Cricetulus griseus: one gene and its partners. The protein of the gene in region 6 binds, or shares a complex with, the protein of the main gene of each other region. Links are inferred from orthologs where the notes say so. Each region holds a gene or a part of one and is shown on either strand. Other genes may lie near its edges. The genes, in order: Rrn3, Polr2k, Polr1h, Polr1c, Taf1d, Taf1b and Polr1b.

Region 1 (3,500 bases), on a different chromosome or scaffold from region 6:
GGCAGGGCTGGCAGGCAGAGAGAATAAGTAGGAGGAGAAATCTAGGCAAAAGGGAAGAGGGGAGGAGAGAGGGAAAAAGAGAGGGACACGATATACCCAGGGCCACAAGCCAGGCAGACAGCAGGAAAGTAAGATATATTAGAAGAAAGAAGAGGGAGACGGAGCGGAGAGAGAGGAGATGGACAAGTAAAAGCCCCAAAACAAAATGTAGATGAAGAGAAACAGATTAAAATTAGAGCTAAGTCCTCCCTCCAGCCTGAGTGGGGAGGGAAGAAGAGGGAGCTCCTTTTTTTTACTGGACTTTTATGTTATATTCTTCCCTTTTTCTTCCACTCCATTTGGGGCCTGGGGATTTTAGTCACCTCTCCATTTGACCCCCTGGACTATCTTTTCTTTCTCTTGATTCTAACTTGTAAATAAAGAAAACATTGTTGAAAAAAATAAAGAAAAATAAGAGCTAAGGTCGAGAATTCATAACTAGTAAGTCTCTGTGTCATGATGGAAGCTGTTTGATGGCCCAAAAGAAAGCCTGCTACATACTATGTTGTTTGGTTTTTTTAGACAGGTCTCTCTACATTGCCCAGACTGTCCTGGAACTCACTGTGCACCAGGCTGACCTCAAACTCCCAGGGATGCCTCTGCCTGAGTGCTGGGATGAAAGGTTTGCACTACCACACCCAGCTTACTTTACATATTTTAAAGGGATCCATCACCATCTCACAAAGTGCTGCAACATAATGGTGGTGCAAAACACCACATAAAGAAGTTGAAACAGGGGCTGGAGAAATGGCTCAGAGGTTAAGAGCACTGACTGCTCTTCCAGAGGTCCTGAGTTCAATTCCCAGCAACCACATGGTGGCTCACAACCATCCTTTATGAGATCTGGTGCCCTCTTCTGTTGTGCAGATATACATGGAAGCAGAATGTTGTATAGAAAGAAGTTGAAACATTGTAAGGCAAGCCCTTCACCAGTGTACCTAACAGGTGTGATGTGACACTTAAACTGTTTACAATTGTCAGAAAATAGATGAAGTTCAAGCAGTATAACTAGAATGAAGCAAATAACTAGACTGTTTTCCACTGTTGTTATTTGTCCTAGTTTGTATTTTTTCTATTGCTATGAGGAGACACCATGACCATGGCAACTCTTATAAAGAAAACATTTAATCAGAGGTTCAGTCAATTATCATCATGGCAGGGAGCATGGCAGCATGTAGGCAGAAGTGGTGCTAGAGCTGAGACTGCTACATCTTGTAAGCAACAGGAAATCAACTGACTCACTGTGTAGTATCCTGAGTATATGAAAGCCCACCCCCACAGTGACACACTTCCTCCAACAAGGCCATACCCACTCCAACAAAACTGCAACTCCTAGTAGCGCCACTCCCTGAGATTATGGATTTATAATCCATAAATGAAAACAGAGAAAAAATACAGGTGATCCAATACTTACATCTAACTTGAGTAACTTTTCAATAATAAGCTCCAGAATTTCACGCCTCAAAGTTGGAAAATACACACTTATCCTTAGTAAGTTATGAACATAACATTCCTAAAGCATGAGACAGAAGATGAACAATTCAGCTCAGTATTTCAGGATAAGCAAAACATCAATTACACAAGGTTTACTTTAAATACATGAATAGAAAAGGGACTCTTAGTTCAGAAACTACACTGTTCAAATCTACATGTGTTGAGTATAATTAATCTAATCACTCCCAGTAAACATTTCTACTTAGTAATACATTAATACCTCTGCAAACTCTAGCTTTTTGTTTCCCCTTTAATTTATTCAGGGGGGGGGGTGGGAATCAAACCCAGGACCTTATGCATGCTAAGCAAGCACTCTGCCACTGACCTACATCTGCAGCCTCCCTAGTAAGTTTTCAACACAGAAGATGTTTCAGGAAAGGAATCAAGACACCAGGAGCAGTAGCAGCTCACACCTATAATCCCAGCACTTAGGAGGCCTTGAGGCTAGCCTGAGCCACACATTAGGATCCTGTTTCAGGAAATATAATAACAAAAAGAAAAGAATATGAGAGATGTTCTTCACCTTCTCTATTTATTTATTTATTTATTTATTTGAGATGTGGTCTCACACTGTAGCTCAGGCTTGCCTCAAAGTTGCCAAAGACCTCTTGCTTAACCTCCCAAGTGTCAGGATCACAGGCCTACACCACAATGGAGTCTTGAGTTTAAAAATCCAGAAAGGTATTTTTAAGATGATAATAATAGTAATAACAACAACATCTAAAATAAAGTCACAAAACAATTTTCCATGAAAAATTTCTTACCAGTGTTCTCTCTGATTTTCTCACAAATGGAAATTTGTCTACCAATATCGGCATTAGAAACCATGGTGTCCTATTAGAAAAAAAAAAAAATTCAATCCATGTTACTTGGACTTTCTAAGAACAATAAGGATATAAGAGGAAAAAAAGGAACCCTACCTCAAGCAATTAAAGGCCCAAATCAAGGAGTTTCAGAGAAAAAATCTAAAACAACTTACATAAAAATACTCTATTAGCTTTATTAGTAGCAGCACGTCAAAAGAAGGCTTTTCTTCTACCAAAGATTAACAGACTTTAGTTTAAGAACATGTACCAGAAAAAAACAAAAAAGAGCACGTATCAATATATAAGTATATTATTTAAAGAGGCAAAGTATCACTAACTTGGTATTTTTTGATGAAGGCAGGGTCTCATGTAGCCCAGACTAGTATCAAACTGTGTGTAGCCAAGGATAGCCCTGAATGCCTGATCCTCCTGCCTCTACCTTCCCAACTGTTGCGGTTCCACATATACAATACTTTTCCCCAGCTCCATTTTTAGTTAATAAAGGTATCACTGATATTCTATACTGCCAAAGAAACCCTCAAGTCTGCTGCCTTTTGATAACCGAATTTTATCCATATGGCAGTATACATACAGGTTCTCAGTGAAAGTATTTGAATATCACATCTGTTGAAGATAAAAGCAAAACCCCACCTTCTATACAAAATTGAGGTAGAAGCACTATGTGCAAATTAATTACGTTAAATAGTTAAACAGGCCCCACGTGACTCAGAGGGAAGACATTTGCCCCCAGGCCTGGCATCTGAGTTTGAGCTACAGGTATGTGGTAGAATGAAACCTACTAATAGATGTCCTCTAACCAGAACCATGGCACACTTCAACACCTGTGCCTTCACTCACACAAATTAAATCTTTAAATAAATTAATAAAATAATACAAATTAAAATAACAAACATAATGAATAAAAAACAGAAACAATTTTCAACATGTGATATCAATAAAACTGAAATAGCAATACAATGCAGTTTTTGATGCTATAACACTCTGTCATCTACTCTTCCTTCCAAAGCTGTGTGCACACATTACAAGCAGGTGACCTACTAGAACTAAGCCCCAACCTGTTAATAAACATCATAATTCAAAGTCAACAAATACTCACGATGGGACATATCTTGTTATTATTTGCAAGGCTCTATGACATGT
Region 2 (4,040 bases), on a different chromosome or scaffold from region 6:
CTGTGAGTTCGAGGCCAGCCTGGTCTCCAGAGTGAGTGCCAGGACAGACTCCAAAGCTACAGAGAAATCCTGTCTCGAAAAAACCAAAAACACAAAACAAAGAAACAACGAAATCTTAAAATCTCAGACGTCTAATGTAAGCCCCCTGGAAGCTCAGGCCTCCAGAATCCTTTCCCAGGACTGCGGCCATCCCAATCATCATGAGGAGTCGGAAACTTGATGCAAACAGCAAGAGGCTTTAATGAAAGGTAGACGTTTGTACGAAGGGGCTCTCTCAGCATGCAGGCTAGAGAGCAGCCCCGTCCCCCAGGCACAGGCCTTTTTAAAGGCAAAAACCACAAGCTTAGGGAGGGGTGTGACCAGAGTCACAGGTGCCTAAGAGACCCTTTGTCTTGAGGAGAGGGCTGGGAATCAGATGGCCTCCTGACCCACCAGCTGTAAAACCTGCAGACCTCAGGATATGCTTAGCTTGCTTGAGCAAATGGTACCTATCTCTTTGTTTCACAGGGACACTTAATTGTTAATGATTGACACATTGGCCGGTGGGGCAATCTGTTTTTTTCATGAGCCCCTCGGGGAGGGTGGCCATCTGGGAATTCTTGGTACCCAGTTATATTATGGCCTTGTAAGGGAGTAATTGCTTGCGGCTGGTAAATTCCAGGCCCTAAGTCCTAATAGTGGCCTTAGTTTCCGAGTTAGGCCGCCCTACATTCAGTTTGGAGAGTTTCCTTATCTGGGCTATATTTCTTTGCTAATTTTTAAGTCTTTCACTAGCAAGTGAGAAGCCACACCACCCTTTCTCTACAGCCGGGGCTTAGCCCGGCAGACACACCTGACCGCCCTAGGATTGGGGAGACTTTGTAGCGTGGCTGAGGGCGAGCGTTTAACAGGCTGCTGGGCTGTGTGCGGAGGAAGCAGCTCAAGCGACCGTTTTCCTGAAGATTCACCCCTGCGAGCCACCGAGCTAAGCCAACGGTCCTGAAAAAAAGTATTTTTAATTGACATCTCCGGGGCCTGGGGGAGAGCCGCGCGCTGAAGGGCAGCCAAACAAAAGAGAACCCTGTGCAAACGGCGACGAGCAAATGGCGACGAGCAAATGGCGACGAGCCCGAGTCTCGAACCCGCGACCGCCGCCGGAGCGAGAGCTGCTTTCGGCTTCCGCCGTCGCCTGTGCCCAGCCCGGGCTCTCGGCGGCGGAGGGGACGGGGCGGGGGCGGGGCTCCTGCGCGTCATTAGGCAGCGCCGGAAGCGCGCGGTCCGCGCCGGTAGTGAGTCCGTCACTGAGGACGCGGGGGAACGTTTGTGTGCGTACCGAGACTCTGCTTGGAGCCGCGGAGGTGAGAGATCGGTCTGAGGGCAAAAAAACTGGCTTTAGAAGGTTTTAGAAAGTTCCCGGGTGCCCGGGAGAGCTGGCTCCACGCCGCCTGGGCGCTCGGGAAACGGAGGCAGGGGACTGCCGCCTTCAGCAGACGGACGCCCGGGCTTTGGGGTTGGCTTGGGCGATGAAGTGAGTTCCGGGCCAGCCTGGGCTACCAAGTGGGGAGCCTCTCAAAGAGCCAAATAAACGTAAATAAATGGTCGGTGACTGGGCTGGAGGGGCGGCTCAGAGGTTAAGAGCGCCGATTGCTCCTCCAGAGGTCCCGGGTTCAATTCCCAGCACCCACATGGCAGCTCACAGCTGTCTGCAACTCCAGTTCCAGGGGACCTGACACCCTCACACCAACGCACATAAAATAAAATAAATTTAAAAAATGATTTATGACAAGATCCCCGGCGGAGTTAGCGGATTTTTGTGGGTTTTTTTTTTTTTTAGTTTATTTGTTGTTTGGTTTTTCGAGACAGGGTTTCTAAGTTTATTTTTATTTTTTGTGCATTGGGTATTTTGCATGGATGTCAGCTGGGTGCCCTGGAACTGGGGTTGCACACAGTTGTGAGCTGCTATGTGTGTGCTGGGAATTGAACTCAGGAGGAGCAACCGGTGCTCTTAACCTCTGAGCCATCTCTCCAGCCCCCCCCCCCTTTGCTTCTTAGTGTCGGGAGACGCTGGGCACACAGAGAGCTGTGCTTAGCCTCGGTTTCCCCGAGTGTAAAGAGTGATGCCCTCTGGCACCTTCAAGAGTGTCGTAGACCTTCGAGATGGATTCTGTGTTGTTGAGAATGTGTTTCCTCCTTCAGACCCAGCCCACAGTTGGTGGGGAAGGGGGGGTTTCAAATAAGGAATTATGATTTTTTTCCCCCTCATTCTGTAATACTGGGGTTTGATCCTCGAGCCGCTGTGTTCTGGGCAAACATTCTACACCTGAGATTTTCTCTTCACCCCGGAATCAGGACCTTGCGTAGCTGCTGGGGAAAAGGGAGCCTGGTTGGTTTTGTGTGATGATCTTGTTATTCAAGCTTTGGCTCTGATTTCAGGCACTAGCAATGGACGCGCAGAAAGACGTCCAACCCCCAAAGCAGCAGCCGATGATATATATTTGCGGAGGTAAGATTAACATTTAAGTAGGAACGTTTTTTGTTGTTGTTTTGGTTTTTTGGTTTGTTTGGCTTTTTTTTTTTTTTGCTTTTGTTTTGTTTTTTTGAAACAGGGTTTTTCTGTGGCTTTGGAGCCTATCCTGGAACTCACTCTGTACACCAGGCTGGTCTCCAACTCACAGAGATCCCCCTGCCTCTGCCTCCCTAGTGCTGGGATTAAAGGTATGTGCCACCAATGCCCTGCTTAAGTAGGAACATTTTACCTCAACTTTCCATATATGAGTACTGATCTTCAAAGTTATAAAGCGGAGCACTCAGGAGGCAGAGGCAGGGGGATCTCTGCGAGTTCAAGTGAAACACTTTAGCATCATTAATGTAAAAGTCCCTCGTTAAGATTTGTCTTTTCATCAGGAAAAGGTACGCTGCCGACAGCTCTTTTCTTTCCTCCTTGGTGTATTTAGTTTCGGGGCTTTGACTTGCTCTGGCGAAGTCTGTGGTTATATTTGGTTCCCTGTAGTGTTTCTCTTTCAGGCATTGACTGAACGTGTTTTATTCCCTAGAGTGTCACACGGAAAATGAAATAAAGTCCAGGGATCCAATCAGATGCAGAGAATGTGGATACAGAATAATGTACAAGAAAAGGACAAAAAGATGTATCCTTCTGACTGGGCTTTCTAAACGTAAAGAGGAATAACTAATACTCGGTTGATAAAGACCAAGTTCTGACAAAAGTAGCAACTTTTGGGTTGTTTATTTTTCTAAGCAGATTGAATGTGACTTTATTAATGAAGAGTTTATTAACTGAGAATGTGGGGGGCTCTGAAGGACGTAAATGTATATTATTTTAATATGAATTATTTTTCACCAAACTTGGAGAAAAGAGGCAGGCAGAGCTTTGTGAGTTCAAGGCCAGCTAGAACTACTAAGTGAGACTCAGTGTCAAAAAAAACAAATAGGGGCTAGAGAGACTCGTCAGCAGGCAGGTAAGGGCATCGGCTGTTCTTCCAGAGGACCTGTGTTCTGTTTCTAGCACCAACATAATTACTCATGATCCTCTGTAACTCCAGTTTCGGGGGTCTGATCCCTTTTTCCGACCTCCACCTGTACAAAGGACCCAAGTGTGTGTGTGTGTGTGTGTGTGTGTTTAAAAAACCCTGTAAGTGATTTTAGCTTTTATTTTACTTTTTTTTTTTTAGTTCAAATTAGAAACAAGCCTACTTCGATTGTCAATCCCTGCTCCCTCCTCTCTCTAGCCCTTCACCAACTCACCACATCATCCCCCCCTCTGCTCCCCAGGGAGGGTAAGGCCCTCCATGAGGTATCCCCAAAGTCTGTCATATCGTTTGGGATAGGGCCTAGACCCTCCCCCATGTGTCCAGGCTGAGAGAGCATCCCTCCACGTGGGATGGGCTCCCAAAGTCCTTTTGTACACCAGCTCTTTTTTTTTTAAGTAAACATGATTAGTGTTTTCGTGCCATTCATTATGGGCTCTAAGTAATTAAAAAATTAATCAATTTGGGTTTATGTAAATGTTTTTAGTTTTTTCAGGAATTCTTTGTTAGAAGTAG
Region 3 (4,020 bases), on a different chromosome or scaffold from region 6:
TCGGGCGGGGGCTCAGGGGCCGGGCTCCAGGCCGGCTCACTTGGTGTTTGCCCTCGTGCCGGCCCACCTGGTGCTCGTTCTCGGGCCAGCCCATCTGGTGCTCGTTCTCGGGCCAGCCCACCTGGTGCTCGTTCTCGGGCTGGGCGTGCGGCTGGTGGCGGGGGAAGTGGAAGCCGCCGGGGGTGGGGATCGGGGAAGCCGCCGACAGGAGGAAGAGGAGACAAACTTGAGAAAGAAAGGGCTAAGGGGCAGGGGTCTTTCACCTTAAGCACACAAGAAACATACAGGTGGCTAGGTGAGGTCTCATTTCTGTAATTAATTTTCAGCCTGACTGTAACTGGTTTTAACTTAGTAAAATATTTGAAACTTAGCACAGCTGAATTTAAGACTGCATAGGGTTACATTATAGTCCTTAAACAGTAGCTACAAGTACACATTTTAGCTGCTTGCTCAAATGAGACAGGGTTTTTCTGTGGCTTTGGACCCTGTCCTGGAATTCAATATGCTGGACCAGGCAGGCCTTGAACTCAAAAAGATCCATCTGCCTCTGCCTCTGGAGTGCTGGGATTAAAGGCGTGTGCCACCAACACCCTAAACTTAACTTCTGAAAAGATAAACATCTTATAATAGATTAGCAGCTTTTATAAAACAAGAATTTTACATTGTCAGGCTTTGCTTAAAAATAATTTTAAATTGAAGCTCTTTAAGTACAAACATTAATAAAAATAAACATTTAAAAAACTGGTTTTAAAAAGAAATTTAAATTCCCTTAATATCTTTCTGTAATATATAGAAGCATTAACACTTTAAATCTTAACTGAAAAGCTTGTTTCTAAGATGGAACCTCTAATTTCCACGCGGTCATCTTTAGTCAGGATGGCGGTTTAAGTATCTTTTTTCAACTTCAGCAAAATGGCTGCCAGTCAGCCATGTGACCAGTTTGCCATGTGGCTGGTTACAAAATGGCCATAACTTGCACCCTTTGCTTAACATGCTTGTAACAGAACTTAGGTTATACCAGGAAAAAGAACATTTTAAAACAAGTATACATAAATTACTTGAGAAATAAACAGGACTTTTTAAAAACAGAATTAGCTTAATATGGTTAAAATTTTAACTTATATTACCATTTTTAAAATTTACTATTTGTTGACATGAGAAACCATAGCAAACAGTTTACATTTTTCTCTTTTAATAATCTCTTTTCTGACCTTCTATGACTTGCTTTAACTTTCTATAACTTTTTATAGTTCTTTCCTCTGATTTTCTTAGACATTCTTAGACAAATTTTTCTTTTTCCTTTTTCTCTTTATTATTTAAGTCTCCTACATTTTCTCTCATTTCTCAGTCAATGTAAAAATTTTTATCAAAGTCCCTTTTACAGTTTTTAATAACTTTTAATAACTTTAAGGCCTTTTTTTTTTTTTAGAAGTCCGGATCAGGCCAGATAAGTTCATACGCCCCAGCTCCATGTGCTCAAGGCAGAGACCTGGGGTGGGGGTGTTGGTGGTAACCCCAGACCCTTGGCCAATGCAGGGGTGGGATAATGGGATAAAGACCCCCTCGGTCCCCCTGCATACCATGTGTGTGGAGCACAGAGAAGGCCGAGCAGCCAGGCAGATGGCGGGCCTTGCAGCCATGTTCCCTCAGAGCAGGGAAACTCCCTTGGCAGGCAGGATGGCAGCTGGGGCAGAAACAGCCCCACTTGGCATGCCTCACAGACCCGCAGGTGGGGATAGAAAGGGGGTGGTGTGGTGGATCCTGAATTGAAAACCAATGATGATAACACAGAATAGACAGGAAAGAACAGACGCCAACCCAATCCGCCCGCGCCGCTTATAAGGCAATGGCGACGGAAGATGGGCTGCAGAACCCAGCGGCTACAATCATCACTAACTGAGGAGGATCCAAGTCCTTGGCCTCCGTTCGTACCTCCTGGGTGTCCTCAGAGCAGCAGTCTGTCCTCCGGGCGCATCTGCTGATCACAGTTGAGGTGGCATCATGTGCTCAGAGCATCAAGAAAAGACCCCTGACCCATGCATTCCATGTGCATGGGCAGTAGGGACAGAAAGAGATGTTTAACACAGACTAGGGTCCTATTCGGAATTTCAGATGGCTAGCCCCGTGGAGATCAACTTGGTTCGAAACCAAGTCTCCCCTATAGATTTCGGAAGGCTGCCGCCCGAACTTCCGCCTTAAACAATTCTTGTAGGCCTACTCACAGATGTCGCCAGAAACCCCAACATAGGACCTCCATATCCACAAAATTAACAGAAATAGTAAAATTGACACACAAGCAGACGGTTAGGGTGTGGGCTGCAACAGATCAGATAACAGATAACAAACCTGTTGCTCAACTGTTCAGTCACCCAGCCCATTCCAATCCTCTAGGCTTAACAGACACCAACAGCAAAACAGGACATCAGACAGGACAAACCCTGTGGCAAAGAAATGGTGCCCCAAACCAAAATTACAAACAACCCTTGGACTTCATCCAGGGCGGAACCAAGGATTCCAGAAATACGTCTATTTCTGTGCACGTCTGCTTACCCTATGGTTCAATTCAAATAGCCCTCGGACTTTTGTCCAGGACGGGACTTTGAAATATGTCTATTTCCCCCTGAAGTCCAAATTACAAATCACGAGTCCTGCGCAGGCTCAGATCAACAAAAGAGCAATTTCAAGTGGCACCAAACCAACAAAAACAAGCAAACATATAACATTGAACATATAAGTTGCGAGCTCGAATCATCTTACCTCCAAGATCGAATCCATTCAGGTGAAGGGTGGTCGCAAATCGCGGACGAGCCCCCAAATGTTAGACCCCCCGGAAAACTCAGGTATCCGGGGTCCCAGGCCACATTCTCGGTCACCCCAATCACCAGGCGGATTCGAGAGCTTGATGCAAACTGCATGAGGCTTTATTGTAATTTAACAAGCTAACCCCATGTTAGCTCGGGTCTTTTACCCACCCGCCGTGGCAGATGGCTCGCAAAAGACAGCTCCTAGGGTCTCCCAAGAGATCTTACAGGGCAGCGTAAGGGGAGTGTCTAGGGGTATGCACAGGCTCACTATTGGTGTGCCTCCAGCCTTGGAGGGCTTGCCCTGTGTTGATTGGCCAACTGGTTGTTATGGCCCATAGGCCCTCCCAGGGTGGTTGCTATGCTTTGTGCGTCATTGCTGAGTGCTTATCCATAAAGCACACCCTGGGTCATAAAGTATAGCGCCACCAGCTAACTTCTGATTGGTTCCTTGTCTCGAGGCAGGCATCTGACTTTCTAGTGACTAACTTCTGATTGGTTCCTTGTCACTAGGCAGGCATCTGACCTCTAAGTGACCAAGACAAGGTTATGGCAAGCATGTGTTCGGCTGTTATGGCTGCTGAAAGGGAAGCTGGTCCCTTCACTATCAGTCTCCACATGAGTTCATGCCCATGCAGAAACACCCACATGAATATCCAGAGCTGTCTAAAGGGTCACAGCATCAAGAAGGTTGAGAACCACTGCTCTAGTAAGTGAAGAGAGTGAAAATGCTAGACTTAGGAGTCAGAATGGAATGGTGAGAACCAATTCCTGGAGAAATGATCTGAGAGCAAGGACATCATTTTCCAGCTATGGGAAGGAAAGGACCAAGCAGGATGCAGGATTATGAAGTCCTAGAGGAAACCCCTAGCCTAGGACCTCAGATCAGGAGGCATGAGAGAAAACATTTTCTTTAAGCTTGGTAGGTTGGTAAATGCCTGTAATCCCAGAGCTTAGACAGGATCATTTGGAGCCAGAAGACAGTGGGCTTCGTAGTAAAGCCCCGTAACAACTCAGGCTGAAAAGTGGAACATCACCATACTCCAGAAAGCTTCATGTACTCCCACTCATAGCCACCTCCCGGCATCCAAGAATGTATTTCTAAGTGGTACTATTTGCAGTTACATTGTGGGGATGAACTTTTATTCATTGATGTTTTTAAATTCATCCTTGAAGATATATAGAACTTAAAATGAATGTGCTAAAAACAAATTACCTG
Region 4 (4,104 bases), on a different chromosome or scaffold from region 6:
GAGAAGACTCCTCACCTGCTTCGGACCTGAGCAGGCTCCACATCAAAGTAGGGTCTCAGGATGTCGATGTTGGCATACAAGCTGAAGGCTCTGGAAGCTTGTCTCTTCCCTGCCTGCCACATCTGAAGGGAGATGGGTATTATGAAACTGGTGGCTCTAGACTGTTAACGTTACACAGCCTTTGCCAGATTTCTGTGTGGTTCTCCCTGGAAAACCTACGTCACCTTGGGACACACATGGGTCCACTTTCCCATCTGCTTACCTGATCAGCCACCTGTCGGCTCAGCTGTCCCTTAAAGCCTTTCATGCCCAGAAACTCGCCATCCTCCTCTTCTGCAGCAGCTGCGTCGGCATCCACTTCTTCCTCACGCAGGCGCTGATGCAGCTCCCCCATGTCCTCGAAGCTGGAGCCTGACGTGTCATCCATGTTCTCCATGTCAATCACGGCCGAGCCCCCGCCCTGTGAAGACAAAGGCTGCTAGAGAGCGGGGCCTTCTGTTGCACCCTTCTGCTCTCTGCTCATCGCACGGTTTGAGGCTTTGCTCTCCCACTGATGAGGACATTGGAATTGCTACCCATCGTGCCAAACTCCTCCTTGTCACTGCTGGCACAACTCTTGTCGCCACACTTTTGTGGTTCAGAAAACACACTACTCATCTTCAATTCACGTTGTTTTCCTACCTTCCCCCTCAAAGCTTCGAAGTGCTGCACCGGGGCCGACCTGCCGCCACCCACCTTCAAGCAAGCCTATGTGCACACAGGCCACCTTTAGGGGCTCCAGGGAATCAATCCTACCCTCTAGCCCTGCACCTGCCTGACCCAGACAGGCCGCCCAGCCACGGAGACCCGAGGCCCGCTGCAGCCTCGGCCTGGCCCTTCCTCCTCAGCACAAGCGCTACAGACCTGGGCGTGGGAGACTCAGCGGCCACCACTTGCAATGGAGCCGACTTCCAGGCCGCGAGAGGGGACGGCGGCCAGCCCGGGGGCTGCCGGCAGCCGGGACACCGCTCCATACCTGGATGTTTTCTTCGAAGCCTCCCCACTCCGGGCCAGCTCCGTTTCGGACGCCGCTGGCCGGCGCCGCGGGAGTCGCCATGTCCCTCGAGGCTTTCCGTCGCTGAAGCTCGCGGGCGTGGGACCAGCGTGAGACCCGGGCCGGAGAGAAGGAGGAAACGTCCAGGAAAGAGAGAGGGCGAGGTAGTATCAGCCGGAATGCAAACAGGAGAAACCCGGATGTTTGGCCCCAATTGACGTCCGGAAGTGAAGGACGTGGACGGGGCGGGGCAGGATATCGCGACATTTATAAGTTCAGGAGGCGGGGCGTTGCCAGGGAGACGGCAACGGGCCCCTAGTACGCCTGCGCGCACCGGAGGCGTCTCGAGGCGGGTGGTGGACGATGGCGGCGGCCCAGGCCGTGGAGGAGATGCGGACGCGCGTGGTTCTGGGAGAGTTCGGGGTTCGCAACGTGAGCTCGGAGCGGAACTCGGGAGGGTCGGGGGCGGGATGGGGGAGGAGGAGGGGAGGGGACCTGGCTTGCGGCTTGTCCTCACCGCCCCGCTGAACACATCTGTTGGCTCTAGGTCCACACCACCGACTTCCCCGGTAACTACTCGGGTTACGACGACGCCTGGGACCAGGACCGCTTCGAGAAGGTGGGTGCGCGGGAGGTGTCCCGGCGGCCCGGGGACCAGACGGCTCACGCTCGCCGCGTTCCAAAAACGTGTGCTGAGCCATCCATGTGCTGGGTGCTGGGTGGCCAGGCCGCCCGGGTGGGGTGAAGGCCCACGTGATCAAGGGATCCCGGTGAAACACAAGAGCGGCGAGCACGGCCGGGGTGCGGGAGAGGAATCCCGTAGGTGACTTAATCCGGTCCGTCGGAGAGACGGAGACTCGGGTCAGTGAAGGAAGACTGGCCAACAGTTAGGCCGTGCAGGCCTAATTGGAGCATTGTTGCAAACGCTTGTTTGCGCAGAGCCTGCTCCAGCAGTTCATTATCGCCAGATGTCAATACATTGGCCCGAGTGGTAGACAAGACCGGGGTCTATCTTTTTCTCTTTGAAAATTTATTTGTATTTTATGTACATTGGTGTTTTGTCCGAATCTATGTGAGGGTGTCGGATCCTGTTGTCAGTTACAGTGTTGAGTGCTGGAAATTTAAACTCGCGTCCCTGATTGGGGTGTTATCTTAAGCTCTGCAAGTTAATAGAGAGCTCTGTTGTTTTTTTTTTTTCGAGACAGGGTTTCTCTGGGTATCCCTGGCTGTCATGAAACTAGCCTTTCTGCCTCCTGAGCGCTGAGATTAATAGCATGAGCTACCTCGCCTGGCTTAAAGAGAATTTTTCAGTAGACTGATCTAATTTTGTAACCTTCATAGCTGGGAGGGAATGAATAAATTCCACTGGTAGTGGAAATGGAGCAAAAGGAGAACTAACAGCTATGTACCATATAGCTTTGGTGAGGGGTGTGTGTGTGTGTGTGTGAAAAAGGGCCTTGTGATGTGGGGAATTTAAGGAGTTTTTTTTTTGGGGGGGGGGTTATGTGTTTACCTGCATGTATATTTGTGCATTTGTGTGACTGGTGACCCAGGGAGGTCTAGTTAGGTCCCCAGAACTGGAGTTATGCATGGTTATGAACCACAGTGTGGGTGCTGGGAACCAAACCCAGTTCTTTTTCTTTTTTCTTTTTTTTTCTTCTGTTTTTCGAGACAGGGTTTCTCTGTGGCTTTGGAGGCTGTCCTGGAAGTAGCTCTTGTAGACCAGGCTGGTCTCGAACTCACAGAGATCCTCCTGCCTCTGCCTCCCGAGTGCTGGGATTAAAGGCGTGCGCCACCCAACGCCCGGCCAAACCCAGTTCTTCTGTAAGAGCAGTCAAATGCTCTTAACTGCTGAGCCATCTCGTCAGCTCCATTAGGGAAGTGTCTTGATGGCTGATTGTGTCAGTTGATAAACAGGAGAAAAAGAGTGATAATATGTTCAAATTCCTGTATGTGAAGTCTGTAGGTCAAGTGAATGATGCCTGAAGTGAGATCAAAATGAACCCAAGTTTGGGGAGTTGCTGAGTAGTTGCTTAAGCCAGGAGTGTGATTGAGGTCAGCCAAGAGATTTGAACCTGGGAGAAAGTAACATTTACAGGGTGAGAGGAAGAATTTAGAATATCAGATAAGAGAACTAAATTGGTGTTCAAAAGTCAAGGGAGTAGAATTTGAAAAAAGAGGGATTGAAAAATAAAAACAAATGCAGGACTAACTTGTCTAAGCAGTGTGGGACGTTCTGCTCTTCAGTGTAGCAGCTTCTGTGGGTTGTTTTTGTGGAGCCATATTGCCTAGGGTCTTTTTTGGGGAGAGGGCGGGGGTTGAGACAGGATGTAGCTTTGGAGCCTATCCTGGCACTCCATCTGTAGACAAGGCTGGCCTGGAACTCACAGAGATCTGCCTGTGTCCCCCTCCCCCCCACGCGCGCGCGCCCAGTGCTGGGATTAAAGGTGTGCACCACCAATGCCCGGCTTTGCTTAGGGTCTTAGTGATGTACACCTTTGATCCTAGTCCATAGAAGATAGGTAAGTATTCCTGTGAGTTCGAGGCCATTGTGGTTTACATAGATAGTTCCAGAAATGCTAGGGCAAGGTAGGGAGACCCCCCCTTATTTTTTAATTTAAAAAAGAAAGAAAACCAGCCAGGCTTCTTACAAAACTCAAGAACAGGGCTGAAGACAAAAGTCTAGTGATCATCTGGTCACAGGAAGGCTTTAGGATGAGAGAGGGTGGACATACATGGAGGGACATTGCCAGGGTGGGAGTAATCACAGAGGGAGGCTTGAATTACACAAGAGAAACAGGTGTTCCATCAGTTTTTTCTCTATCCCTCTAGAATTTCCGTGTGGATGTTGTTCATATGGATGAAAATACACTGGAGTTCGACATGGTGGGAATTGATGCTGCCATTGCTAATGCTTTCCGGAGAATTCTGTTAGCTGAGGTAAAAGAAGACGTGTGGGTCTCTTATTTCCAGGTAGGGAGATCAGTTGGTGTTGCAGTTGGATGATTCTGCTTTTTTGAACAGGTGCCAACAATGGCAGTGGAAAAGGTTCTGGTTTATAATAACACATC
Region 5 (4,138 bases), on a different chromosome or scaffold from region 6:
GAGGCCACCCTGGTCTCCAAAGGAGTGCCAGGATAGGCTCCAAAGCTACACAGAAAACCCTGTATCGAAACACCCCCCCAAAAAAGTAAATGACATAAAAAATAAAAAGAACGAAATAACATCTGCTTACTTTGAAATGACTGGTTTGATGGGCTACTTAATTTAAAGTTGGGTAAGATATGCTTGAGAGTAGTTTAGAGACTAAGATGAGGGTATTTTGTACATTTACAGACTTGGACCATTATTCTCTAAGTTTGTATACACACTAAAAACAGTGCACTCAGAAACACTGGAACCTGAGCAGACTTTACACAGAACACATTGTTTATTGTCAAAGTAACAAAATGTGTCCCAGGTGGACCTCAAATTAAAAATGGCCAACAACACCCAAACCCAGAGAAACTATGTCTGGAAAAACCAGGAAGAAAAGATGGGGGCAACAATCATTCCAATTTCCTAGTGTATTCACTTACATGAGAATGACTCACCTCATATGTTAAAATTTTCTTCCAAGGTAAGGGTTTTCTTCCATTTTCAGATTCTAAGAATGGAAACACAGCTCCTTTGTTTTTAATTTGCTTCACACCTATCTGTGACCTTCTAGGGTTTCTAGCATTTTTTATTCCAGGTGGTCTTCCTCTTGGTCTTAATTTTGGCTTGTATTTCCTTTTTTTCCGTTTCTTTTTCTTAAATCTTTCAAAAATAGCCTTTAAAGTCAAAAGCCTTGGTTCTATAGAGGAGTCACTTGATGTGTCAGTGTCAACATTTGCAGGTAAAGTGACACGTTTTGTCGTAGGGTTTCTTTGCTTTCGTGTAGGTGAAAGAACGTACTGTGTTTTAAATAAGCTATCAGATGAGTCATCGCTAAAAAAATAAAATAAAATAAACTGCATCACTGAGTCGTTACTAGAAACAATCCAATTCACGAGTGGCAAGGCTGTACCCTCAGGCAGCATGGTCATTAGTAACTCAAGTTTCATGGAGTTCAACACCCTCTTCTGAACACATGATACTGACTGTAGGCAAAGCACTCACTCATAAGTCACATAAGAGAAGACATTAAAAATTTAAGTGTACATTTCTTCCAAAGCCAGCTCCCCCAAAATCATACCCAACATTTTCAAATGGGTGTGGTGATAAGCCTTTAATTCCAGCTCTTGGGAGAAATAGGCAGGATCATCTTTGAATGAGGCCACCTACTGAGACCTGTCAATCTGAACAGTTAGACTCAACTCTAGGGTGTTTAGTCACAAAAGCTGCCTTACCTTTGATGTCCAATGTCTGCAGCTCTATCAGGTGTCATGCAGTCAACAGAAGTCACTTCTGATTGAGCCATTACTCGATCTCTGCAATTACAATTTCAGTGTGATGCACCTAGCATTCTAATGAAAAGTTCAACATACACCATACCACCATGTGACTTTAGGTAAAATCGACCTAAGGATAGTCCACTTTAGATCTTTAAAAACATCCAAGTGAGCCAGCTGTTGGTGGTGCACGCCTTTAATCCCAGCCATTTGGGAGGCAGAGGCAGGCAGACCTGTGAGTTCCAGGTTAGTTTCAGGACAGGCTCTAATTCAATATAGAAAAACCTTGTCTTAAAAAAAAAAATATCCACGTGAGGAGCACAGCAGTTAAAGTGTAACCTTCCACAGTTCAGTTCCCAGCACTCACATTGGGTAGCTCACAACTTCAACATGGCATGTTTCTGGCTTCCTGGATACCCACACATTCAATTCTAATCTACAAGTGAAAGCAAAGGAGAGACCACTTTCCAAATCAGTGTTTTCTAATTCTACTTAACAAAAGTACCTGAGTGGCTTTACTACCAGCCAGCCACACAGTGAAACAGCATTAATTCGGATGTTTACCCTAGGAAGGCTGAATTTTTAGCCACTCAGTGTGTATGCCTCAATTTCCCGAATGGCCAATGGGCCTGTAATCCCAACAATAGAACCTCTAGGGTGAGTCAGCTGAAGAGATGGCTTAGCTTTAAGAATACTGACTGCTCTTGAGTGGACAGATTAAATTCCCAGCACCCACAAGGCAGCTTTAAAGGGGCCGCAACTGGCCAGGTGGTGGTGCGCGCCTTTAACCCCAGGAGGTAGAGGCAGGCGGGGCCTCGAACTCAAGATCCGCCTTCCTCCTGAGTGCTGTAATTAAAGAAATGCACCACCACCTCCCGGGTTATTAACTTTTTTCCTTTAAAAGGGGACTTATTTTACGGATAGTGCATTGGTTTCACCCATACCAGAAATAGGAACCAGAGCCCATTACAAATGGTTGTGAACTACCACGTGGCTGCTAGGAATTGAACCCACGTCCCCTGATAGAGCAGCTGGTGCTCTTAGCTGTAGAGCCATTTCTCCATTCCCCATTGTTTTTTAGTATTAGCCCATCAAAATTGCAACGTAACATACTTGGCCCGTTTGCACCAACGATAGAGCGGAGAAAATTCTAAGGGTAATGGCCAAGTACACACGAGGAACCTATCTAGAAATCAGTCCTACCTGTGCGGTCTTCTCGACCTAGGAAGGCAGCACCAGCACAATGCCCCGACGGGACACTCTAAAACCTTCCGGCAGCGACCGATAGCGACCGGGAGCCACGCGTGGCCCGCTGCGCCTCACCCGACAACAGCGCCGACTGCGCGCGGACAGCCGCCCAAAGAGCCCGGGCCCGCGCGCGGTCTCCGAGTCCCGCACCGACCGATCGCGCCAGACCCGAGCGCCCAACGCAAACACACCCGTCTCCCTCCTCCACCGCGACCAAAAGAACGTTCCAGCTCGCAGCAGCCGACTAGGGCAGGCCGAGATCTCGCGTGAGCTCTTAGCGGCGGGTGGGTACGAGAGCGCGGCTACGTGCTAGGCGTGGCTATGTGCGTGGACTGTGGAGTGGGCGGGGCCTCCGCGAGAGGCGGTACCGGGCTCGCCCCTAGGCTTTGAGCTGGCGGAAGGGAGCAGGACGTTGAACTTGGGTAGGTGAAGGGAAGAAGGCATTCCTGCAGGCGTGAAGACACTGCGGGTCAGGTGAGCGTCCGCATGTTGTGGGGCCGAGCCCACTGTGTGCGGAGTTCCCCCTCAGAGGAAGGGTGCCAGGTGCTTTGGGCACCCCACCCTTCAGGAGTTAGCTTCCAGCAGGCATGGGCTTCCTCCTTCAGATCCTGAGTTGACTCAACAGTGTAGGGCTAAACAGTTTTTAGCCCTACAGTACTTTCTTTTCAGTAGTGAGCTGCTTTGAGTTATTTTCCATGCTGCACCTTTGTATTGTATGACAAGCAAGCCAGCAGATCTGCTTGCCCTTAGTCAACAGTTGTTATCATTTATGATTGGACACGCCTTAAAAGTAAGGTCTTGCTGTACTTGCAAGCAGCCAGTGCATTCGCTGTAAGCTCTAAGACAGGCATCTCAGACTGTCACATTCAGGACCAGTGCAAACTTAAATTGCAGGGTCCTGTTCAAAACGAAAGTGACAAATAGCTGAGAACTGTGGCAAATCGCAGAACTGGAGAGTCTGAAGGAGGATTGCCAGGCCAGCCTAGACTATGTTTTCCCCATAAGTAAGGAAAATTTAGAATTATTAATACAAGTTTTACCATCTTTATGTTGTGTACTGCCAGGCGGTGGTGACTCATGCCCTTAATCCCAGCACTGGGTGTAAGGATCAGGCATTATGCTGGCCTGCCTCTTCCTAATAAAACTTCATTTAAGCTGTCTGCCTGGAATGTTTGTCCCTTGGCCTCGGTCAACCTCGCCCGCCATGAAACCTGCCAAGGTTCACCTCACTCTTTATCCTAACACTCTGGAGGCAGAGGCAGGCGAATCTCTGTGAGTTGGAGGCCAGCACAAGCTACACAGAGAAACCCTGTCTCAAAAAACCAAAAATAAAAAAATAAAAAAACCTTAATGAGCTTCTAGGCCTTTAATCCCAGCACTTGGGAGGCAGAGGCAGGCAGATATCAATGAGTCAAGGCCAATCTGGTCTACAGAGTGAGTTCCAGGAAACTGTCTTGAAAAAAGAAAAGAACTTAATGAGCAGAATTGTTGTGGGGCGTTCACCAGAGAAGAGTGTTCAGACATAGGTTAAAAGCCAATAGAAAAACTTTATTAGCCAGCCAGCAACCAACTGAGTGTTCGGG
Region 6 (3,500 bases):
TGAGGCTCAGAGGCGCCTCCTTTGCTCACCTCTGTAACTTATTCCTTTCATCTTGACCAGGGATTCTCACTCCTGGATCACTGACCTTTGTATACAGACCTATGTGGACCTGACCAAACAAGGAAGTGCTCGGCTACGCTCCCAAGTTTCTACCAAACGTGAGTCACGTGGACTTAGACTCTCATCTTAGCCCTGTGGTTGGTACACTCACCATTCTCTGCAGACTGTGCTCTATTCCAAGCAAAAGGTACCACAGCACACTTCTGAAGCAATTCAGAACAAGCTGCTCACAGACAGAGCAGCTCTAATAGGCCGCCTGACTGACTTTCCTTCACTTCAAAGTGTCTGAGATGAGATTATAAGGGGACTAGGTATGGAAATGCCGGGTGAAGTAGGCAGGAATGTCATGTTAAGGGAATGACACAGTCAGGATAGGGAACGTGGCTCAGTTAGTAGACTGTTTGCCAGACATATACAAAGCCCTTGGTTTGGTTCTCTATGCGTAATTGTCTCTCAATCTAGCACTTCATGGGTGGAGGCAAGTCAAGGGTGTCCTTGACTACACAGCAAGCAAGCCTGGCCTGGGATACATGAGACCCTATCTCAAAATAAAATAAAGTAAGCTGGGTAGTGGCACACTCCTTTAATCACAGCACTTGGTTGGCAGAGGCAGGGGATTTCTGTGAGTTTAAGGCCAGCCAGAGATAAATAATAAGGTCCCATCTCAAAAAACAGTAATAATAATAATAATAATAGGAATAACATGTGTAAAAAATTCAAGCAACAAACAAGACAAACAACCCCCACAAACTAAATAGCCACATGACAGGAGTCCCTCGAGAGCCTCCACTCTTCTAGTCTAGGGGTAGAGCTCAGAGTCACGGAGCTTTCCTAACTTGTAAATTTGACCCCAACACGGCAAACAAGGAAGAAATTCCTTAAAGTTCTCCAAGTGAGCTGGGTGTGATGGCTGTAATCCTAGCACTTGAAAAGCTGAAGCAGGAGGATTACCAGAATCCAAGGCTAGCCTGGGCTATGGAGTGGAATCCTGACTCAAAAAAAAACCAAAAACAACAACAAAAACTTTAAAAAGGAAGATGAAGCCAGGCGGTGGTAGTGTACACCTTTAATCCCACACTCAGAAGGCAGAGGCAGAAGAATATCTGTAAGTTTGAGGCCAACCTAGTCTACAAAGTGAGTTGTAGGAGTCCTCCAAAGAGAAACCCTGACTCAAAAAGAAGATAAAATAAAATAAGGGCTGGAGAGATGGCTCAGCAGTTAAGAGCATTTGCTGCTCTTCCAGAGGTTCTAAGCTCAATTCCCAGCAACCACATGGTGGCTCACAACCATCTCTAATGAGATCTGATACCCTCTAATGGCATGCAGGTATACATGCATACAGAACATTACATACATAGCAAATAAATCTTTAAAAAAAAAAAGGAAGATGAGTTATAATTGCTTTTATGTTACAACTAGTTTACTAAGAAAGCCACAGTTCATTATAAGGTCTGGATTGTTCTGGATTGCACCAGAGCCCCTTCCCTGACAATCCATAAACAAGCACCACTGTCAGACTCAAGCAGCCACAAACAGCACCTTCATCTCTGTCACACAAGGCAGATTTTGCTCCTGTTCATCAGGCTCCATGGCTCACCTTGGCTTTCCGTCCTCTTGTACGAACTGGGTTTTTACAATAGGCCTGCTTGCTCTTCTGAAGGTAGCGCTTCCAAAGATTGTGCAAAACTTCATTCTGCGGTGGGAGGGAAACAAGTGGTGAATCTCTATGATGGCATGACACAGGCACAGCTATACCACATGTGCTCATCCTTCACAGATCACCTGCTTCTCTTTACCGGGCACATGGGAAACACTGAATCAACAAATGCTTCGCTTTGCTTTTCAGTGCTGGAGATTAAAGACAGACCTCAAGATACTCCTATAATCTTGGAGTTAGGAGATGGAATAGGCATTAAAGATAACCATGGAGCCTGTCCTTTTACAATCAGGATCACAGAACGAAAACAAGTTACACAGGCCGACACTTCTACTCAGGGGCAGAGCCCGGCTCTTCCTGCTGACTCTTCCTCAGGTCCACTCAAACCTCCCCCTTCCAACAATGAGGAGCTAACTTCTAGACATTCATGACTTACCTTTAGCTCTGCACCTACTCCCAGGGTCTTCAGGGCTTCTGCCTGGTGGTATAGTATGCACTGAAAACCTTCACACACATACCAATCCCAGCCTTTTTCTAAAGAACAAATAACAAGCTTTAGATACACATATTTCTAATTTACTAATTTATAATGCAATTTCTGTTTACACATGCCAAAAGACTATTTTTATATCTCAAATAGTCTTTCTCTTTCTTCCTTTTCCTTCTTCCTTTCCTTCCCTCCTTCCTTTCTTTCTCTATTTCTTTCTTTGTGTGTGTGTGTGTGTGTACGTACACTTTGTTTTATTCTAAATTATCTATCTGTCTGTCTGTCTGTCTGTCTGTCTGTCTATCTATCTATCTATCTATCTTGCCTGTGTGTATGTCTGTGAGGGTGTCAAACCCCCTGGAACTGGAGTTACAGGCAGTTGTGAGCTGCCATATAGGTGCTGGGAACCGAACCCATGTCCTTTGGAAGAGCAGTTAAAGCTCTGAACTGTTGAGCCATCTCTCCAGTCTGTTTTTGTTTTGTTTTGTATTGTTTTGAAATATGGTCCTACTGTGTGAGTCTGCCCAGCCTGGAACTTGCTATGCAGACCAGGCGGGCTTCAAACTTGTATCCGTCTCCCCGCCTCTGTCTCTTCCTCCTAAGTGCCGGGAGCATAGGCATCCACTACCATGTCCAGCTGTGAAAAGTTTCTATCTTTATATTCTTTTTTCCAATATGATATATTTGCATCAATTTCCAAATTGATATATTTGTATTTAACAAAACTAGCATTTTCTTAACATATTGTATTTTCAATTATCTATCACACTTTAACTACTTATATATATGAGTTACAATTAATCAAGTTTTACTCTGATAAAATTGAATAAAAATCAATCAGGTTTTAGCCTATAAAAAGCCATTACCAGGCTGGTTCAGCAATGAAGAACCCTGACTGCTCTCAAAGAAGATCTGGGTTTGGTTTCCAGCACCTAAATAGTGGGTCACAACCATCTGTAACTCCAATACTGGGGGGTCCAACACGGACTCTGGCCTTTAAGGGTACCTGCACACACAAGATACACAGATATACATGCAGACAAACACCTACATCATATACATGAAATAAAATAATCTTTTTTTTTTTTTTTTTTTTTTTTTTTGGTTTTTTGAGACAGGGTTTCTCTGTGTAGCTTTGGAGCCTATCCTGGCACTCACTCTGGAGACCAGGCTGGTCTTGAACTCACAGAGATCCGCCTGCCTCTGCCTCCCAAGTGCTAGGATTAAAGGCTTGCGCCACTAACACCCAGCTGAAATAATCTTTTTCTTTTTTTTTTTTTTTTGCTTTTTCAAGAC
Region 7 (3,500 bases), on a different chromosome or scaffold from region 6:
TTCTGGGGTACACTGTGAAATGGGTGAAGCTCTGAATTTGACCAAGTTTACCATCAGCTGGGTCCCATAACACCTTATACTTGGATCACCCTGCAGAGCGCACGTCCTATGCACACTAACCATATGGGACTGGTCAAGAGATGGTCACTCACCTAACACCCTGATGGAGAACAGCAGAACTCAAACTTCACATCAACAAAGCAAAAGAACCAATGACTACATGTTTTGACATGCTGAGATACTGTTCTCCTAGGTGCTGTATCCATGGCAACTACTAAAGTCTGATTTTTATCTCAATTATAAATGATACATTGTATAATATTACAGAAGTTAATAGAGAAGCCATATGCTATCTTACAATGCCAGGCACTGTCACAGGCATCGAACACAGGCCAGTCCCCTGAGGGTGTGCCAAGGCAGTCTAAACCAGGGGACCCAACATGTCTTTGGACACAAGTGCTAAGTCAAGTCAGCCTTCATCCTCAAAAGCAATACCAGAACTACATGAAGTCATCCAGACTAAAAACAGACAAAGGTTCTCACTATGAAATCACTTTCTGGGTATATTTCCTTTTCTTAGGTAATAAACACTATACATATTAAAGTGATTCGGTATACACAGACAATGGCACCAACTTTACCACCAGCCACTTGCAATTTTTCAGCTTCACCAGGGTGCATAAGCCATGTCCATTCACTAGAAATTACATTTCACTTTTTGAATTGAGACCTTTCCCTAGGCTAACAATGCTGTGTATTTTCTCATAATGTTGGGACAGCAGCAGTGAGCCATAGCTCCCAACCAGCCAGGAGAACAAAAAGGAAAACAAATTATAGTCGTCAACATCCTGGGGTGCCAATGTTTTTGAATACAGTGTTTTCATAGCTCATCAAGTGTACAAAAAGCCAATCTGTGTATGAGCACAAGATGATCAACACTTGCTCATAAAACAGGCTTTGTTTTAGGTGATTTTTCCAAAGTGCATGCTAATGTGTTAATAAGTATTCTAGCATAGTTAGGCTTGCCAAGCTAAGCTACTATGTTTGCAGGTTAGCGCACTGACTCCACTGTTACTTCTGTGGCATCAAGCATGAGCCCAGAAACTTCTGCAGGTTAGACAAGCTGTAAAGCAATCTTTGTACATTGTAAATATGTAATGCTCTCATTGTCAATAAAAAGCTGACTGGCCAATAGATAGGCAGGAAGAGATTGGGTGAATGAGCCTGAGACAGAGAGAATGCTGGGAGGAAGAAGGAAGTCATCAGCCAGATGCTGAATGAATCAGATACTCAAAATGGGATAGAGGTAAAAGCCACATAGCAAAATGTAGATTGATAGAATGGGTTAATTTAAGTTGTAAGAGCTGGTTAGTAATAAGCCTGAGCTATGAGTCCAACAGTTATAATTAATATAAGCCTCATATGTTTATTTGAGGGTGGCTGTGGGACAGAAAAACTCTACCTACAAAGCACTCTACCACCAAACCAGTCCCTGCCTCTACATAATTTGTTTTTTGAGATATGGTCTATTATGTAGCACTGACTGTTCTGTACTGGAATTCACAGTGTAGAACAGGCTGCCCTCAATCTCAGAGATCCACCTGCCTCAGTGAAACACCATACTTGGCTCTAAGTGCATCTTTTAAAAATTAAACAAAATTTTTTTATTTATCTTAAATTATGTGTGCTTATATGTGTGCATGTGTTCCCATGTGGGCAGATGACCACAGAGGTCAGAAGTGTCAAGCTCTGGAGCTGGAGTACAGGCAGTTGTGAGCTGCCCAACATGGATGCTGGGGATTGAACTCAGGTTCTTTGGAAGACAAATCTGTGCTTTTAAACTGCTGAGCCATCTCTCCAGCCCCTCTAAGTGCATTTTTAATGTACAGTACTCTCTATTTACTACAGGTTTATTAGGTATTGCATAACAATTACCATAACCAAATTGATTAAAACATCAATTACCACATATAGTTAGTTACCAAATGTGCATGTACGTGTATACGGGATCAACACACTTAAAAATCCACTCCATTTTCCAATTTTAAATAATTAACACAGTATTATTAACGATATCATTCATAGTGCTATACACTAGCATTAGATAGTATACATGTGTGTTCACACATGTGTGGTGGAAGTACTCTCCACCTTGAAAGCACAGGGAGAGAGAGAGAGAGAGAGAGAGAGAGAGAGAGAGAGAGAGAGTGTGTGTGTGTGTGTGTGTGTGTGTGTGTGTGTGTGAGTGTGTCCAGATGTCTTCCTTAATTGCTTCTTTTGAGACAGGGTCTCTCACTGAACCTGGAACTTTCTTCTTGGCTAAACTGGCTGGAACCGCTGTTCCCTCCCCTCCGGTGCTAAGATTACAGATGTGTACTTCCATACCCTTCTGTTCCTGTTTTTAGATGTAGGTGATGGGGACTCAATCCCTCATGCCTCTGTAGAAAGCACCTCCCCACTGAACCATGTCCCAGCCCCGTACTTGGCCCAAAACTTAAAGTCTATACTTTGATCAATACTTCCCCAACCAACACCACCCCGAATCTTACAGAATGCTTATGGCAAAACAAATAAAAATCATGTAAGAGAAACACATTAAAGACTGTATAGTGTACAGTCAGCCCAGGCAGTGGTGGCACACTCCTTTAATCCCAGTACTCGGGGAGGTAGATAGGTCTCTGTGAGTTTGAGGATAGCTGGTCTACAGAATGAGTTCCAGTTCCAGGACAGCAAAGGCTACACAAAGAAGCCCTGTCTTAACAACCCCCACCACACCAAAAAAACAAAACAAAAACAAACAAACAAACAAAAAAAAAAGAAGAGGAGGAGAAAGGAAAAAGATTGTATATAGTTGTATCTACTTTAAAAAATGGTTTTCAAGTTGTCCAAAACAACATCCTAATGTTCACTGAAACTTACCGAAATGAGTGTAGCCAAGCCCTCTGCTTTTCCACTTTGGTCTTATCATCGCAATGGGGAAATTTCTCCGAGGCATAATCAACATTCGGATGACTTTTTCAATGCCATTGATTATAAAATAACCTCCCATTTCCTGCCAAAGACAGGGTTATTATCTGTTAAACTAAAGTATATGACAAAGTAAACACAAAGCTATTTCTAGCCACATGAAGAGGTACACATTGGTGAAAGGGACGCCCCATCTCTAGAAACAGTACAGGTTCCAGAAAGTCTCGTCAGATACACAACCGGAGTCCAATAGACACAGAACAGGAAGGCAGGAAAACAGGGCCACTCCTTCTAACTAGACAGTCTCTAGACTTGTAACTAGACTAGTTAAACTAGTCTCTCTGTCCCAAATTATTCCAATTTCCAACCACCATTGAAACAAAACTTATTCCAAAATCTAAAGATAAAAATGGTAAGTTTAAAAAAAAAAAAAAGTTGACTGCATGGAAGCTTTGCTGACTAGAAATCTGGACTAGATAAACACAGGAAAATACGTTTAATAATAAAGAGTGTGCTGCTAACTGCTTGATACC

What was found.
Region 1: Taf1b (region 6) and Rrn3 share a complex: the UniProt entries of both Homo sapiens proteins name them as parts of the pol I pre-initiation complex. The link is inferred for Cricetulus griseus from reciprocal best matches to the Homo sapiens genes TAF1B and RRN3.
Region 2: Taf1b (region 6) and Polr2k share a complex: the UniProt entries of both Homo sapiens proteins name them as parts of the pol I pre-initiation complex. The link is inferred for Cricetulus griseus from reciprocal best matches to the Homo sapiens genes TAF1B and POLR2K.
Region 3: Taf1b (region 6) and Polr1h share a complex: the UniProt entries of both Homo sapiens proteins name them as parts of the pol I pre-initiation complex. The link is inferred for Cricetulus griseus from reciprocal best matches to the Homo sapiens genes TAF1B and POLR1H.
Region 4: Taf1b (region 6) and Polr1c share a complex: the UniProt entries of both Homo sapiens proteins name them as parts of the pol I pre-initiation complex. The link is inferred for Cricetulus griseus from reciprocal best matches to the Homo sapiens genes TAF1B and POLR1C.
Region 5: Taf1b (region 6) and Taf1d share a complex: the UniProt entries of both Homo sapiens proteins name them as parts of the transcription factor SL1/TIF-IB complex. The link is inferred for Cricetulus griseus from reciprocal best matches to the Homo sapiens genes TAF1B and TAF1D.
Region 7: Taf1b (region 6) and Polr1b share a complex: the UniProt entries of both Homo sapiens proteins name them as parts of the pol I pre-initiation complex. The link is inferred for Cricetulus griseus from reciprocal best matches to the Homo sapiens genes TAF1B and POLR1B.

What each region holds. Positions count from the first base shown.
Region 1 is NW_023276807.1:74,971,884-74,975,383, reverse strand, and holds part of Rrn3 (RNA polymerase I-specific transcription initiation factor RRN3), read right to left. Parts: coding exon 3,457-3,500; intron 2,368-3,456; coding exon 2,298-2,367; intron 1,553-2,297; coding exon 1,454-1,552; intron 1-1,453. UniProt on the Homo sapiens protein: Required for efficient transcription initiation by RNA polymerase I (Pol I). Required for the formation of the competent pre-initiation complex (PIC).
Region 2 is NC_048603.1:15,288,356-15,292,395, reverse strand, and holds the start of Polr2k (DNA-directed RNA polymerases I, II, and III subunit RPABC4), read left to right. Parts: upstream 1-1,240; 5' UTR 1,241-1,337; intron 1,338-2,412; 5' UTR 2,413-2,421; coding exon 2,422-2,482; intron 2,483-3,032; coding exon 3,033-3,125; intron 3,126-4,040. UniProt on the Homo sapiens protein: DNA-dependent RNA polymerase catalyzes the transcription of DNA into RNA using the four ribonucleoside triphosphates as substrates.
Region 3 is NW_023276806.1:228,752,233-228,756,252, reverse strand, and holds the start of Polr1h (DNA-directed RNA polymerase I subunit RPA12), read right to left. Parts: upstream 2,801-4,020; 5' UTR 2,758-2,800; intron 1-2,757. UniProt on the Homo sapiens protein: Core component of RNA polymerase I (Pol I), a DNA-dependent RNA polymerase which synthesizes ribosomal RNA precursors using the four ribonucleoside triphosphates as substrates. Can mediate Pol I proofreading of the nascent RNA transcript.
Region 4 is NW_023276806.1:255,712,608-255,716,711, reverse strand, and holds the start of Polr1c (DNA-directed RNA polymerases I and III subunit RPAC1), read left to right. Parts: upstream 1-1,304; 5' UTR 1,305-1,396; coding exon 1,397-1,465; intron 1,466-1,580; coding exon 1,581-1,652; intron 1,653-3,865; coding exon 3,866-3,973; intron 3,974-4,057; coding exon 4,058-4,104. Other genes in the region: protein YIPF3, read right to left, coding at 16-122, 263-460, 1,016-1,096. UniProt on the Homo sapiens protein: DNA-dependent RNA polymerase catalyzes the transcription of DNA into RNA using the four ribonucleoside triphosphates as substrates.
Region 5 is NC_048597.1:128,814,693-128,818,830, reverse strand, and holds the start of Taf1d (TATA box-binding protein-associated factor RNA polymerase I subunit D), read right to left. Parts: upstream 2,801-4,138; 5' UTR 2,511-2,800; intron 1,347-2,510; 5' UTR 1,337-1,346; coding exon 1,266-1,336; intron 865-1,265; coding exon 489-864; intron 1-488. UniProt on the Homo sapiens protein: Component of the transcription factor SL1/TIF-IB complex, which is involved in the assembly of the PIC (preinitiation complex) during RNA polymerase I-dependent transcription.
Region 6 is NC_048600.1:27,158,102-27,161,601, forward strand, and holds part of Taf1b (TATA box-binding protein-associated factor RNA polymerase I subunit B), read right to left. Parts: intron 2,252-3,500; coding exon 2,154-2,251; intron 1,754-2,153; coding exon 1,658-1,753; intron 1-1,657. UniProt on the Homo sapiens protein: Component of RNA polymerase I core factor complex that acts as a GTF2B/TFIIB-like factor and plays a key role in multiple steps during transcription initiation such as pre-initiation complex (PIC) assembly and postpolymerase recruitment events in polymerase I (Pol I) transcription.
Region 7 is NC_048599.1:49,464,757-49,468,256, forward strand, and holds part of Polr1b (DNA-directed RNA polymerase I subunit RPA2), read right to left. Parts: intron 3,053-3,500; coding exon 2,920-3,052; intron 1-2,919. UniProt on the Homo sapiens protein: Catalytic core component of RNA polymerase I (Pol I), a DNA-dependent RNA polymerase which synthesizes ribosomal RNA precursors using the four ribonucleoside triphosphates as substrates.